2 linked regions of the Oreochromis niloticus genome follow. The protein of the gene in region 2 purifies or fractionates together with the protein of the main gene of each other region. This does not show direct contact. Links are inferred from orthologs where the notes say so. Each region holds a gene or a part of one and is shown on either strand. Other genes may lie near its edges.

The links. Proteins that work in one complex are often made in the same cells at the same time.
Region 1: the proteins of haus5 (region 2) and haus2 purify together in Homo sapiens (affinity purification with mass spectrometry; 5 studies listed by BioGRID and IntAct, with this or other methods). This does not show direct contact. The link is inferred for Oreochromis niloticus from reciprocal best matches to the Homo sapiens genes HAUS5 and HAUS2.

The regions. Positions count from the first base shown.
Region 1 is NC_031983.2:29,704,873-29,712,837, reverse strand, and holds haus2 (HAUS augmin-like complex subunit 2), read right to left. Parts: upstream 3,048-7,965; 5' UTR 2,899-3,047; intron 2,610-2,898; coding exon 2,523-2,609; intron 2,342-2,522; coding exon 2,243-2,341; intron 1,290-2,242; coding exon 1,220-1,289; intron 1,068-1,219; coding exon 935-1,067; intron 864-934; coding exon 755-863; intron 215-754; coding exon 101-214; 3' UTR 30-100; downstream 1-29. Other genes in the region: lrrc57 (leucine-rich repeat-containing protein 57), read left to right, coding at 4,996-5,079, 6,342-6,477, 6,730-6,998, 7,303-7,488, 7,575-7,616.
Region 2 is NC_031986.2:44,252,343-44,259,494, forward strand, and holds the start of haus5 (HAUS augmin-like complex subunit 5), read right to left. Parts: upstream 3,043-7,152; 5' UTR 2,882-3,042; intron 2,788-2,881; 5' UTR 2,756-2,787; coding exon 2,658-2,755; intron 2,576-2,657; coding exon 2,513-2,575; intron 2,316-2,512; coding exon 2,283-2,315; intron 2,157-2,282; coding exon 2,132-2,156; intron 2,007-2,131; coding exon 1,883-2,006; intron 1,383-1,882; coding exon 1,223-1,382; intron 1,132-1,222; coding exon 1,038-1,131; intron 717-1,037; coding exon 625-716; intron 542-624; coding exon 487-541; intron 382-486; coding exon 254-381; intron 154-253; coding exon 72-153; intron 1-71. Other genes in the region: fizzy-related protein homolog, read right to left, coding at 4,663-4,704, 4,791-4,883, 4,975-5,079, 6,813-7,046, 7,145-7,152.

The sequences.
Region 1 (7,965 bases), on a different chromosome or scaffold from region 2:
CTGTGTTGAATAACCAATCAGAAGCTGCATATGGAAAATGTGAAAGATTTTATTGCAAACATTTATTAGAATAAATTCAAAGTGCAACACATGATGAAGGTTAAGGGTCAGAGGTCACCAGGCTGCATCCATCAACTGACTTCCACTGAAGAATCTGACTGGACAAAGTCTCCATCTCTGAGGCCTGCATCAGCAGCTGGGCGTGCGAGGAGTCCTGAGAGAGTGGGAGAGGTAACAGTTGAACTGGGATGAACTCTGCAGTCAATCGGAGGACGCTATTTAGTGTGTGAGGGACTGATAGGAAATGACCATGAACAGGGAGGTGGCCAAGGGCGGAGCCAAGAGACAAACCCAGTTAACAATACTAATTTGTTTTTATCAATAAAGCTTGATGCTGAATCACACAAAGCGTTGTTTCAGTCAAGCCCCGCCTCCCGTTTCTGACCTGTTTCTGCACAATACCCCACACTGCTGATGACAAACCCACCAGACTCCATTCATAAAACATCGGTTTTTAGCTCACAGAAAACAAACGTTTGCGTTTGACTGTGATGATCCAAACTAATGAGTTCAGACCTCAGGGTGACACAAGCTCACCTGTTCTCTCAGGTAAACTTCCTGTTTTCGTGAATGGAGTCTGGTACACACAGATTCTCTCAGGTGTCTAAAATGAACGGTGGCACACGGCTTTAGTTTGTCTGCATAGGGGCGTGGCCTACTGCCATCCCCAAACCAGTGAGGTCGTGTGACTGACCAGCAGAGTGAGACGGTCTCTGGCTGTGGTCCTGCTGTGGGCGGAGCTTAGCTTCTCCTCCAGAGTCTCAATGAAGTCCATCATCAGGTTCAGGGACTCCACCACGAACCTGAAACACACCACAGACCGTTACAGTGCGCCATGGGCCACTCCAATCACGCTGAGAGTATCAGGCATTACCTGTGCAGGTGAGCGTGCACGGGCAGGTTGGTGTGAGCCAGCGGTCTCATGAGTCGCTGCCTCAGACTGTTCTGCTCTCTCAGCAGCTCCTGCATGTGATCCCCGAGCATCTGCAGCATCTGGAACCTTCGAGCTGCAGGACACAAAAGCACCTGATCAGAGGGGGCGTGGCTCTGCCATCCTCCGTTCTGACAGGAAGTCTTTAAAGTCCCTTCAGAATAAGATCTGGAGTGAAGGCTGGTTTAAAAACATCGACCCGATGACAATGACATCACCTGGACTCACCGAGGTGGAAGCTGTGGGCGACATCGGCGCTTTGCTCGTCAACCTGCAGCAGCTCCAGCCGCAGCCGCATCTGCATCAACAGGAAACAAATACCTTTACGTTAGCTGACACAGTCACATGACTTCTAGCCCCAGTGCAGTCACTGTTGTTTAACACAGCTCCTGCAGGTAAGGTGTTTCATTCACACAACAGCGTCTCATTCACCTGACCGGACCCACAGCGAGCGCACACCTGTCACCGCCTGCAGTTGACGCCCTGAAGGAGTCAGTGCTCAGATCCGAGTTTCTGTGATGGGAAGCATTTGGCGAGACGATCATGTGTTCATAAATGACGCACCCAGCACGCCAACGTACAAAACAGGGCTTTATTAATAAAGCGCTGCGATACTGCTGCTGTGGAGACACTAGCATAGACCCGCTGTGACCCACAGGACTAGTTACAAGATACAAAACTACCTACTGGTTTCATTACCCTGTGGATTAGTCTGAAAGCTGCAGAAATGTAGGATTAGTTACGAAGCCAATAGGAGAGACTTACAGCGGGTTAGAGGACTAGTTAGTAATTAGAGTGTAAATATGAGCATTTTCTGAACAAAGGAGAGGACACACAATCCAAAGTTTAATTAACTAACCACGACTAGAAAAGAAAAACAAGAAAGTGAAGGCGCTGTGAGCAGCCAATCGGAGCCACCAGGATCCATGAAGCTGCTCTGTGGAGGTTCTGAGTCTGCCTTTAAAAACATGACGACTGTGCTCATGATCACCAACAGCCCCACATCGGAGGCCGTCTCTCACGGTGACACAGCGCAACAGCCTGCAGTCAGCTTAGAGTGAATGATGTCATCGCTCCAGAATGACATCATCCACTCTGAGCTGCAGGCAGGAGAGCAAAACAACGTTTCTCATGAGAAAATTTCAAAATCCAATCTGGCCGACATCCGGCTCAGGCATCGAAGCAGGTGGGGCTCTGCACTCTGACATAACATCCCAGCACGCCATCCCCGAGACAGCTGCACGCACATACCTCATCCAACTGCTTCTGCATTCTGATTTGCTCTTCAGCCTTCCGCAGATGAGAGGAAAAGACGGGGCCTGTAGCACTGGAGGCGGAGTCTATTTCCTCCTGAGGACAGGTGAGACAGAAGCAGATTCAGATTTTACTCACAAGCTTTAGTCTGGATCAGAACCGGATCACACAGGTCAGCTCTCACTCAGATCTGAACCTGTCCTCAGACATCTCTGAACCGTGTAAAGCTGCTCTGACAGACCGCCTCAGCCTCCTAAACACCTGTTCGTGTCCTTACCTGAGACAGCGCTCCCACGGAGACACACTTAGAAAGCAGGCTGGCAGCTGGAGTCACGGAGAACGGAGACAAATCCCACTGATGCATCTGAAAGACAGGAACGTCACCTGAACCAGACCAGCCTCAGACTCTGATATTCACCTGGACCAGGTGTTCAAACCTAAAACCGGATCTATCCGAACCAGAACCCTGCTGGGATCCACCTCACAGCTCTGCGTGTGAAGGCAAGCGCCATCAAACTAAATCTCCACAATTTTAAACGGACTTTGAAGCAGCTTTAAAGGCTTTTTTGACGGACACACCGGCACCGTTAAGCTGCCTCTGGCGGTCCCGTTAAACACAAACAGTCTAGTGTCAGTTTCCAGCTTTTTCTTACCGTTAAAACCAAAGAACCTCCGCTCTAAGACGACCAAACTGAACCTCACCGGAGCCCGCCCGCCGGTTTGTTTTTGCTGTTTCTCTTCTTCTGCGAAAACGTTTGGCGGCTGCTGACCGCAACAGCGACCCCTCAGGATCCAGAGAGAACTACAACACATAGTTACAGAAAATAATCGCGTTTCTGTTTGTGTACAAACAAAAAACGTCTCTTTCTGCCTAATCCTGGATCCAAATCTGACCTCACAGCCTGCTGAGGTCACATGACAAGAAGAATGTCGTTCAGGGTTTGAGTGACATCTGTCAGCAGGTGGCAGCGTTGCAGCCCTGAGCGGGATTTTCAGCAGAGAAGAAGAAGAAGAAGAAGAAGCAGCAGAAGCAGGAGCGCAGAATCAGGGCGGCTGCCGAGCTTCACTTTTCTACTGATCTTAATTTTTTTTGTCCTTTTATCGGATAAAATTAAGCACAGCACCTGGACACGCGACACTTGCACACGGGGGTTAAAGGGCGACATTGTGTCGGTATGTAAACAGAGCCGTTTCCGGTTATCTCAGCTGTTAGCAGGGTGGCGGTGGCCTTAATGTTTACAGTGTGTTTACAGTGTGTTTACAGTGAGGAGAGACTGGGACCGATTAGGCTGCTGACGGTGAGTGTGTCACCTCTCAGGTAAACACGTGACTCACCTTTACCACCTGTGACAGCTGAAGGGTGAGCTTTTGCCTGCTGCAGAGAGACAGGTGTGTGTGCGTGTGAGCGCGTGCGTGCATGTCAGCTAGTGCCTCAGGCTGCCCCGCTGCAAGAAACTGACCACCTTAAATACCTTTTAAAGTCCACCTTAAAGCTGAAACCGCTCTCTGTTGCCACAGCATTGATCTGGAACGCCTCAGTTTGGGGGATTTGGCGGCCCCTGTGGTGACTGTGGAGAACTGCAGGTGTGTTCAACACTACAGAGGAGGAGGGTTTTCCACAGGTGTGTTTACTGAGCTCAGGCTTCAACACTAATGCATTTTACACATTACTGGGGTGTGCTGTAGAAAGCCAATGGTAAGTCCGGTTTGTTCCCTCTTTGGCTGATGCACACTCATGAGTAACAAAGCTGGGTTAGGACCACTGATGGTCAATTTGGGATAAAGTTAAAATAGTAAATAGCCTGTATTTGTATAGCTCTTTACTTAGTCCCTATGGACCCCAAAGCGCTTTATACTACATTTAGTCATCCACCCATTCACACACACATTCACACACAGGTGATGGCAAGCTACATTGTAGCCACAGCCACCCTGGGGCACACTGACAGAGGCGAGGCTGCCGGACACTGGCGCCACCGGGCCCTATGACCACCACCAGTAGGCAACGGGTGAAGTGTCTTGCCCAACCTTCTGATTACAAGACGAACTGCCAACCATTGAGCCACGATCGCCCCTAGTGGCAAATTTATAAGATTAATGTTGTAAATTTAGGGAGACTTGCCTGTCAGAGTCAGTGTGGTGCTTGGTGAAGTGCAGTTATTAACGATGCTAATGGTTTGTATGTTAGTTAGCTGAGGATTATTAATGTGAATGAGTTATTACAGGTCTTCTTTGTTATTAAACACCTTTAATCCACTGGGGGTGTTTGATCTGCTCATCTGTGCATCAACATGAGAAAAAGTTTAAATCCTACGCCGCCCAGCACAGGTGGATATTGATACCGTTTCCCTCGGCTCAGGACGGGTCGCTTAGAGAAAACAATCAGGGATTTCAACCCAAACTCGGAGCCTTACGTTGGCACGATGCTGCGGGACATGGAGACAAAGCACGTCTGTGAGCTCACCAGCAGCCCATGCAGAGCTTTTCTCTGAATATTCACTTTGTTCTTCAGTCAGAGTGAAACAGCTGTACGCCGCCTCTGTTCCAATCTCACTAATAAACACAAACATGTTCACAGGTCTGTGAGAGAGGACTGCTCACCTGCAGGGATTCACTATCTGATCTCATCAACACCTGCTGACGAGGAGGAGGAGGAGCGCTGATACGGCTGTCAGCTGATCCATCAGCCTGTCTGGAAGGACTTCGGGTGGCCCTGCAAGTGGAGGGCTGGTACCTGGCTACAGGTGCAGATGGGGAACAGTGCGCTGAAGTCTCACCTTGAAACCTCCCAGAAGACGGGAGTGTTTCAGCTGACGGGGAAAGGTCTGCAGGAGGTGAGAGGAGCAAAACTCCAGAGTTAACTTACACACATACACAGAAAGATTTAAACACATGTTTGACGCGTCAGACGTTTCAGTCCGGGCACCCTATGATTGGACAGTTCTCCTTTCAGTTCGGAGCCTTTACTGTCATTGCATGAAACTGGAGTGGCATCACTGGGATGGAGAACAAACACACAGAGACACGTGTTCACACATGTAAGCAATGAATAAATCAGGTGATAAAGCAGGTGATCGCCTTTTATACACCTGACCAGATGGTGTTTATCTGCGATTCGCTGAAGGGGTGGGAGCTGGGCCCTGTAACTTTTTTGTGCTGTCTTTATGATGCGTTGGAGTCTATTTTTGTGAGGAGCTTGTGATACAATATGACAGCAGCCCTTCTATGGTGGAGTGGTAGAAGGATTCGAGTTTTGTCTGTAGCCTGTTTCTCCTCAGGAAGTGCGGGCCCGCTGAGCTTTCTTCACAGTGGTGTTGGTGTGGGCAGTCCAGGAGATGCTCCTGTGTGGGTTCCTGGGAGTCAGGAATCCTGGATCCTGTCCACACAGTCTCCATTGATGTACAGAGAAGATGGCCTGCTGTGTTTTTCCCTTTGGTGGCACTTTCCACCTACTGTGAGAAGTCAGGAACTGTCTTTAAGCAGTTGTTAAAATCACCAGCAGTGATGACGGCCCGATCCGGATGTATCTGCATCTGTTGGTACTGTGCAGCTGGCTTAGAGCCATGCTGACCTTAGCAACAGGAGCTATGTGCACTGCTGTAAAAGCTCTGCAGCCGACTTGACAGAGGATAAGTCCGGGGAACTGAAGCTGTCGAGGACTCAGCTGTGTGTGCACCAGTTGTTATGTGTGACGATGCAGAGTCCTCCGCTCGGTTCTTTCCTGACTCTTTATGTGGTCCTGATGATGGAGAGTCCAGTCCAGTAGCATCGGGAGCCGTGTTTCCGTTGCACAGCAGTTTCAGACAAGTCTGTTGGTGGCCAGCTGCGGTTCGATTTCGTCCATCTTGTGGGTGAGCGATCTGGCACATCCTCATTTGTTTTTGTCTAAATCACAAAGCAAAAAACACAAAATGAAAAAAAAAAAAAAAACCCACAGAACTGGAGAGCTCCGAGCTGCAGCATGTAGGCGCACACTTGCCACCATTAGAGTGTGACACCCCAGGGCCTGATCATAGCAAGCTTAACCTATACAAAACCGAGGGCGTCCCGAGTCGCCTGTCCTGAGTTGCCTGTCCTGGTCACGGTCTGCTTTCAGTTTCCAGAGGAGCTGCAGAGGCTCACGGCCAACCTGAGGACGGTGGATCTGTCCGGGAACAAGATAGAGGTCCTTCCTACCACCATCGGAAACTTCCCTCAGCTCAAGAGTCTGACGCTGAACTCTAACCGGCTCGGTGAGTGTTCGACCCGGAGCAGTTATGCCTTTACATCTGTGTTTTAAAGCCAAACAAAAAGCAACCACATTCTTGTTTCAGCATTTGATTTGTTCTCTTTGGATGCTTTTTTTTAGTTTAATTTAGGGTTGGAATGATTTAAAAATCCCCGGACTGTGTGTGTCTTTAGATCCGGTTTAGCTGCAGAACAAACCGGAGCCTCCCCGACCCTCAGACCTGTGAGACCCTGTTGTGTTGTGGTTCTGTTTTTAGTCGGGATTCCCTCTGAGATTGGGAAGCTGAAGAAGCTGGAGACCCTGAGTCTGAATGGAAACCGGATCCAGCAGCTGCCCCCCACACTGGGCCAGCTCAAAGCCCTGCGGACCCTCAGCCTGGCCGGGAACCAGATTTCAGAGTTCCCCTCCGGACTCGGAACGTTGAGGCAGCTGGACTTGCTGGACCTGTCCCGAAACAAGATCCAGAACGTCCCTGAAGAGGTGTCCGAGCTGCAGGCCATCGAGATCAACCTCAACCAGAACCAGGTACTGCAGAACCAGGTCTGTCAGTCCACCAAAGAACCAGAACCAGGAGGAAAACCTGAAAGGGCTGACCCTGTGCTGTTAATTCACCCAGTATTAAAGATCAGTTTTATTTATATAGCACCAAATCACTACAACAGTCGCCCCAAGGTGCTTAATCAATCGGTTATCAATAATCACTGATCGGTCACTCCATGACATCTACTGCAGCTTTCTATCCCTCAGACTTCCCAGGAGGTTCTGATAATCCCAGCCCAGGTCTGGTGGTGTTCCTCTGTACTAACCCGGTCCTCTGTTCTTGGTCCAGATCTCGGTGGTGTCGGCGGAGGTCTCCCGCTGTCCCCGTCTGAAGGTCCTCCGCCTGGAGGAGAACTGCCTGGAGCTCTCCTCCATCCCTCAGTCCATCCTGACCGAGTCCCAGGTGTCCCTGTTCTCGGTGGAGGGAAACCTGTTTGAGGTGAAGAGACTCCGGGACCTGGAGGGATACGATAAGGTCAGTGCTGCGGTCTGAGACCAGATCGAGTCCAAGACTGCGAGTCCTCCTGCGGTCCCTGATGACACTCTGCTTTTCCTCCTCAGTACATGGAGCGTTTCACGGCCACAAAGAAGAAGTTTGCCTGAGGACCTTCGATGTAGAGTCTGGATCTGTGAGGTTCACCTGGAGGCGAGCTCGGCTGAAGCCCCGCCCCTCTTACCCTGCACTTCCCACAGCTGCTGCTTCTGCTGCTGCTAGAAACCAGACTTCAGCAGCCGGGACTCCTCACAGCGCCCCCAGAAATCCGAACCTCCAGAGCAACAGTCACCATGGAGACAGGACAGGTTTCACGACACTGAAGAAGAGGACCGGTGCCATGTTTGACTGCATCAAACTTTATTGTTCACTCAGTTATGGACAGAGAAAAAGTGGAAATGTTTAGTTAACCATGTAGAAACATGCTTTGTAAAATGTCAGCAGCCTGTTTATTGATTG
Region 2 (7,152 bases):
TAAACTGTTAACAGGGGGTGTGAACATGGTTTCATCTGCGTTTCTGTTGGTATACTGCAATGTGACCGCACCTCTAAGAGGGTTTTAACTGGTGGTAACTCATTTTCCTCTTCTGCTGACATATCCAGAAGGTGGTCGCTTTCATAGCGGAACCTGCATGCCAAAAAACAAATAAATTTTAAAAATGCATTACACTGAAAATCGGAAATCTTGAAGCATGACGTGAAATGAAAGATCCCAATCACTGCCTTACTGCAGAGCTGTTACATCCCGTGTCACGTCCAGAGACGACAGTTTCTCCTCCAATACCTTCTGCTCTCTTGAAGCCAAATACAGCAGCGCTGATAGAACATGGTTTGGAGGGTAAGCACCCAACATGTTCTGGTGACACAACAAGCAACAGCATATTAATGCAAAGTCAAAATTAAAGACAATGTTAACACAAATACAAAAATATTTTGTAAAATCAGACACAAACACACCAACCTCAACAGCACTCAGCCAGTACTGGAATACAGCAGTCCTCTGCTCACGGGTCATACTACAGGGAAAACAAACAAACACAAAAATAAATACATTTTAAAAGCTGAATAACTTAAATCGAGTACAGTCTGTGGTCCTTACTGTGTGGCTGCAGAGTGCTGTGTTTTCGATTCACACTCTTGTAAAGACTGATAGAAGTGGACCCTGTCGTCACACAGCTCTCTCACATCACGCTAAAGAAAGAAAACAAAGGTAATGAATGATTTCATGAAGTCAGCAGCTGATATGCTACAGTTGCCTCGGTAAGCAACTAATTCCAGATTTGTGCGAATGTTAAAATTTCTCCCAGCATACATTAGGTAAGGTTAGGTGAAGTAATGTTGGGTTAACTGGTAACTATAAATTGGCCCCAAGTCTGAATGTCTGTCTGATGGATAGAAAACACACAGAGCGGCTATACACAGAGCCTCCAAAGCGGCTGTATTTGCTATTTCTGTCTGATAAACATTCTAAATTTTAAACTTAAGTAAAACACAGATTCGGGCATGTTTTACCAGAACTTGTGCCTCTGTTGCCACTTTGACATTGAGGTTGTCATTGTCTCTGTTGCAAGAAGATTTATCAAACAGCACTTCAATTTCTGCTTTTCTGCAATAAACACACACACAAAAAGAAAAATGTGTAAAAGGTATTGCGTCTCTTTTTCACTTAAAATGTATTAGTAAATGTTCTGCCTTACCTGGCCATCTGTTCCAGAGCCTGGCAGTGCACACTGATCTGTTGCACATCATCAGAAAGATATTTGCGGCTTGAGATGCAGCGCTGCCTGAAAGCCTGAAGCAGCAGCTCTCTGCGTTGGCCGTCTTCCACCTGGGCCCAGGTTCGACTGATAGAGTTGTCTGTGTAATCACAGCAGAAAATGCAGCTATTAAACGCAAATGGCAAAATAGTAGACAAAAACCTTTTCAGCCCTTTGTGGTATAACTAATATATTTGAGCTGAACTTGTCACCATGTGAAATGTGTGAAAAAGATATTTTTTCAGAACTTCTCTCATTTTAACTTTAATTATTTTATCTTTATATAAGAAAACAATCACAAGGTGCAACTCAGTACATTTTTAAAGAAACCATATACACAACATCAGACATGTTTGCCTCTAATCAAAGTAGTGACAACACATCAAATTCATAGGTGTTTTAAAACAAAACTGTGTTAACACAGTTATTCCCAAATGAGTCCTGCCAAGTCCAAAGACATGCACGGTCTTTGTGTTAGTGTCTAATGTGCACTGCGTGTCACTCAGCAGGATAGGCTCCAGTCCCCTCACAACCCTGACTGGAGGAAAATTATGGAGGGATGGCTGGAAGTCCAGCCCACAGTACATATGTTGGACTAACCTTGTGTGGCCATCTGCTCCTCTGTAACGCTCATCTGAGAGTCCAGGTGACTAATCTCTTCTTTCAGCTGCTCTATCTTCTTCTGGAGATCTTTACGCTTTGCAGCCTCACTCTGGCCCTCAGCCTGACAAGACCGCACACCAGTAAACACAAACATAGCTTTTACAGAAACTCCCCTTTGTGAAGTGCAATCACTAACAATTAAACTAAATTACAACTGCTGGGGAAAAGAAATAAGTTGCAGCCTACCTCTTTGTCTTGAAGCGATTTATACCTAATAACAATGTCAAGGATAACAGAGCAAATAAATAACAAAGAAAGGCAAAGAAAACAAAACAAAGAAAGTCTGTTGGAAAGAAGCTGGAAGCTTTGCAGATCAAGTCAAGACCAAAAAGGATACCACTGAAGATTGCCACGCATGATCCTCACATTCCTAAAAAGACAGAAATCAGTCAGAGATTGCAGTTTATTTTAGAAAACAGGCCATTCATGCAAATGTTTTTTCTTTTGTAATGAACCAGAGTCCTGAGTAAATGTTTGAGGACAGGAAATGAGCCGTGTTCTAGTTATAATTTAGTGATCAAAAGGTTTAAAAACAAAAACAAAAAGCAAGCGAGAACAAAGTCTCACCTTTGCTGGAAAACATGCTGGATGACATATTTCCATATCGACTTCCCCGTCCCAACACAGAGTCTGGAAAACAATCAACATTAGTTCAAGGCTAAAAAGTTAGGTAATAACATTGATGACAGGTAACATAAGTGTAGATACCTACGTTTTAAAATAGCTGTCATTAGGCAGTCTGTCCGGGGACAGCCCAAACTCCTCTGTCGCCCAGCGTTTCAAGTCCTGAACAAGATTTCTGTCTGCCATCCTGACAAATAACAGCTGGTAACGAGCTACAGCTAAAGCGAGAAACAACAACAGGAGACTATTATCATCAGCCAGCGTAGTTAGCTTAATGAGTGCACGTAATTCACAGATGTCCCTCCAACTTACCGTGCTCCCACGAAAGATGCCTCTTTAATTCAATAAAAACAGGTTACGGTGCTCACACGGGAATATTTTTTAACCTAAACCTACTCAAACTTTCAAGTTCCCGCCTGTCAACAGCATTTCCGATTAACGACCACAGAGGAAGAGGAAAAGGAGAAGTACCGCCACCTGCTGGCTTGGAGAGCAATCACAACTACAGCCATTTGCTGTCATCAGCACAGACTGTGCCTTAGCTTTGATTTTACACAAATATCTCACATGATGAAAATCATGTAATGATCCAGAAGCCAATATTCATTTTTTTATTTTTAAATGTGGAGATGATTTAAAAGATGTTGTTTGTCATGTTATTTATTGCACTGTTTAACCCAAGAATCTAATGTGCTAATCACATGGCATCTAATCAGGGATATTTGGCATATATACATGCTCATGACAACCTGCTGAAGTTCAAACCAAGCATCAGAATGGAGATGAAAGGCGATTTAAGTGACTTTGAATTTGCCGTGTTGATGTTAGAGGTCAAGGGAATACAACTCGTTTCACCCAAGGGATGCAGAAGAGCACCTTTGAATGCAGATGAGCTACAGCAGCAGAAGACCATACTATGTGCCCATCAGCCAGGAACAAGAAATTGAGGCTTTAATTCATACTGGCTCATCAAACGTGAACAACAAAAGCTTGGTAAAACTTTGTCCGGTCTGATCAGGCTTAATTTTTGCTTTCACATTCACACGGTAAAGCCAGTTTGATGCAAACAACATGAAAGCATGGCATCACCCTGCCCTGCGCGAGTGGTTCAGGCTGGTTGATGATGGTGTGATGGTGTGAGGAATATCATCTCGGCACACCGGATCCAGAAGTATCAGCTGAGCATCACTTAAATGCGACAGCCTACCTGAGTTCTGCTGCTGACCATATTCCCTTATGACCACAGTGTACTCATCTTCTGATGGTTGCTTCTGGGGAGGATAACGTGCCACATCACAAAACTCGAATGATCTAAAACTGTTTTTTCTTAAACACTGCAACAAGTTTACCAGAATCTCTGAGGAATGTTTCCAGTAGCTTGTTCAATTTATGCCGCAAAGAAATTATAACAATTCTGAATGCATTAGCGGGTTTTCCATCCATGCTGTACAAGTTGTGAAATAAATAAATATACACAAAGTCAGAAAGTGGCTCTTTTATTTGTTTTACTGCAAATAATCAGCAATTCAGCAGACGTCTAAATGCACAGCATTAGACTTTTTTGTATTCAGTCACCTCCTCTCAACCACAGTCCAAAGGTCACAATAATCATGGTGCTTGGTTTTTTTTGTTTGTTTGTTTTTTTTTAATTTACTCATAGTATAACATGTCATTAAATCACTCCAAACTTCCATCCTATGAGAAATGGTGTAAAAATAAGTCTCTGAATGTCTGTTGTATAATAAGTATGTTAAATAAATTAAAGATGAGGTAAACAAAACACATTTCAGATGATATCAATATTCTTAAGGCTTGTGATTTCTAGTTTTGTATACTGACAAAAGTTTAAATAAAACAAAAAACACCCACTTTTACATTTTTTAAGCATATAATAAAAATAATACATTCACAGCAGGTGCAAAAGAATTTTTCACACAATTTAAAAAAATAAAGCTAGGTGTTGCCGTCATTCCCTTTGTGAAAAGAACACTCACAATAAGCCTCTGATTGTACTGTATGTCTTTAGCACCAGGCGGATGAGCTATCCGCCGATGATGGCAGGATTTTATTTCTTTTTAAAAAGGTGCTTGAAGTCACCGTATCTTCTTAAAGAGATTTAAAACTGATACAGATTCCTGAAACAAAAAAATGAAGAAACTTGGTTAATGTTTTCAGCAGGTATTAAAATGGGCGGGGGGGGTTGTTGTTAATGCGTTCTCACCTTTGTCGAGCGCGTTTTATTGAAAACGTTCCAGAAGCGTAACGTCTCGTCTCCAGCTCCCGTCACAATCGCCTCACCGTCTGGAGACATGGCCTAAAGAGTACAACAAGTCATTAGAATTTTATCTTAATAATGTTCTTATTTATATTATCAATGGAGAAAAAAACAAACAAACCAGACTGACCAGGTAGAGCACTCGGTAGGAGTGTCCTGTAAGCTTGGCCACCTGAGTGAGAGCTGGATATTTCCACACCAAGATTTGATTCTGAGAGTATCCGTGGGTGCTTACCTGAAAAAGAAAAGCATTTGTTTGCTTTTTGTTGCTTTTAACAGTGAACTCGTTTGTGTATGTGTGATGGACCGAGCTGAAAAAGCAGGAGTCACAGGAATGATCAGAAAATGGGTTTTCATTTATTTAACCCAAAAAATTCTATTTACAAACAGTAAATGTTGAGCTCATGAAAGAGTTCAAAGAAACGGTGAACTGTGACCTCAACAAACCAAACAAACATAACTGACCTAAACAGGAAATGACACACATAACAGCTGATCAGATCACTATGACACAACAGGAGTAAGTAAACAAAACACAGTCATAAACCACAAAGACGATGCAGCACAGTCTAGTTTGTTAATAAACTAAACACCAAAGAAGAAAATCAAAACAACTAAACCCTAAACTCAAACATTTAATTACAGAAAACACACATTCTCCCCCTTCAGCAGGAAGTGGTGGTGCGGTCCAATCATCCCCTCTATGCATTTCACTGCTTTTGTTTCCTTTACCTGTTTCTTACCTGCCACGATCTCTGGGAGTGGCCAGACAAAGATTATACAAAAATCAAACCAAGAATCAGAGTGAATTGGTATAAATACATAAGTAAACTAAATGTGTGCGCTTACAAACAAATGTATCCAAACCAAACAATAAACTTACTGCAAACTAAAGTGTGTTATTTTGAATAAAGAAATAAAGAATACATAAGAGTTACCGACTTTTATAATGCAGTCATGGGTTTGGCCATCACAGTATGTAAAGGCGATATAGCTGAACTAACAGAGAGATTAATCTTTGAAAACCTCTTCTTTCTCTCGGGGTCGCCACAGCAGATCATCTGCCTCCATCTCAGCCTATCCCCAGCATCCTCCTCTGTCGCACCAACCCTCTGCATTTCCTCCTTCACTGCATCCACGAACCTTCTCTGTAGTCTTCCACTATCCTTCCCTCTGCACATGTCCAAACCATTATGTTACCGTTTTATGGGGTAACTGTTGAACCCATTCTCCATAACGGAGAACCTTTGTGTCAAACTCGGATCACAAATTCAAAATGTCATTAAGAGGGCTGGAAAGATGATTAGCATGCTCCATCCATCTTCCCCCCAGAAGATATCTGAAGAGTCAGTGATCGAGTGGGGTAGGGGGGGGAAAAATAAATAAATAAAAAAATCACTAAAGATATAAATCACGTCCTTTATAAAGAGTATGACTGATGAAGAATAAGGTATGAGACTCCTGCCTGACAGAATCTGTCATCCTGCTCATCACTAATACAAAATGATTAATCTCTTTATTTGTGTATTTAAAGTTCACATTAAATCAAACATGACAGTTACCTTATATGACAGTAAGACTCACCTACTTGCCAGTCTTGGGCCCAGCAACAACAAATCAGTAATTTTACAGCTATTCTTAATTCTGAAGTTTGTCATTTTCAATAAAACACACAAAACGGGATTCATTCTGCACTCGTAGGTTTACGCTAATTCTGCATGCAACGAAACAGAGTTTTGAGTTTTAATCTCTCTCACTCATGATCATAGAGCTGAGGTCGATCCATGCAGAAGCCCCTGGAGCTGGCCAATCAGAACAGCTCTGTACATGTATACATGTATTCAATCAACTTCAAAAAGAGCTCTTAACGTATCGCTGCTGACCTACAATTTTAATCAGTGTCTTTACAATTACAAATGGTAATAAATCCACGGACAGCAAATCCACTGTGGATGTGGGGTCTCTTACCAGCTCATTAGCATGTTTGGACCAGGCCAGGTTGCAGACCTGAGAGCCGGTGTCCATACACTGCAGCGGCTGCGATGTCAGGGTATTCCAAAATCGAATGCAGCGGTCGGCGGTGCCGCCGCCCGAGGCAAGCAGGCCGTGCTGATGGGGGGACCAGGCGATGGCTTTAACTGCAGCCAGGTGATCGGTGTACGTCTGCACGGGACTGAGCGACGAGTGGTTCCACACCAACAGCTAAGACCACAAACCGCACACTCATCATCAGTGAGCAAAGCAAATCCATACAGTCGGTGTGCTTGATTAAATATTACAAAAAATTAAAAAACCTCTACCTTGTTGT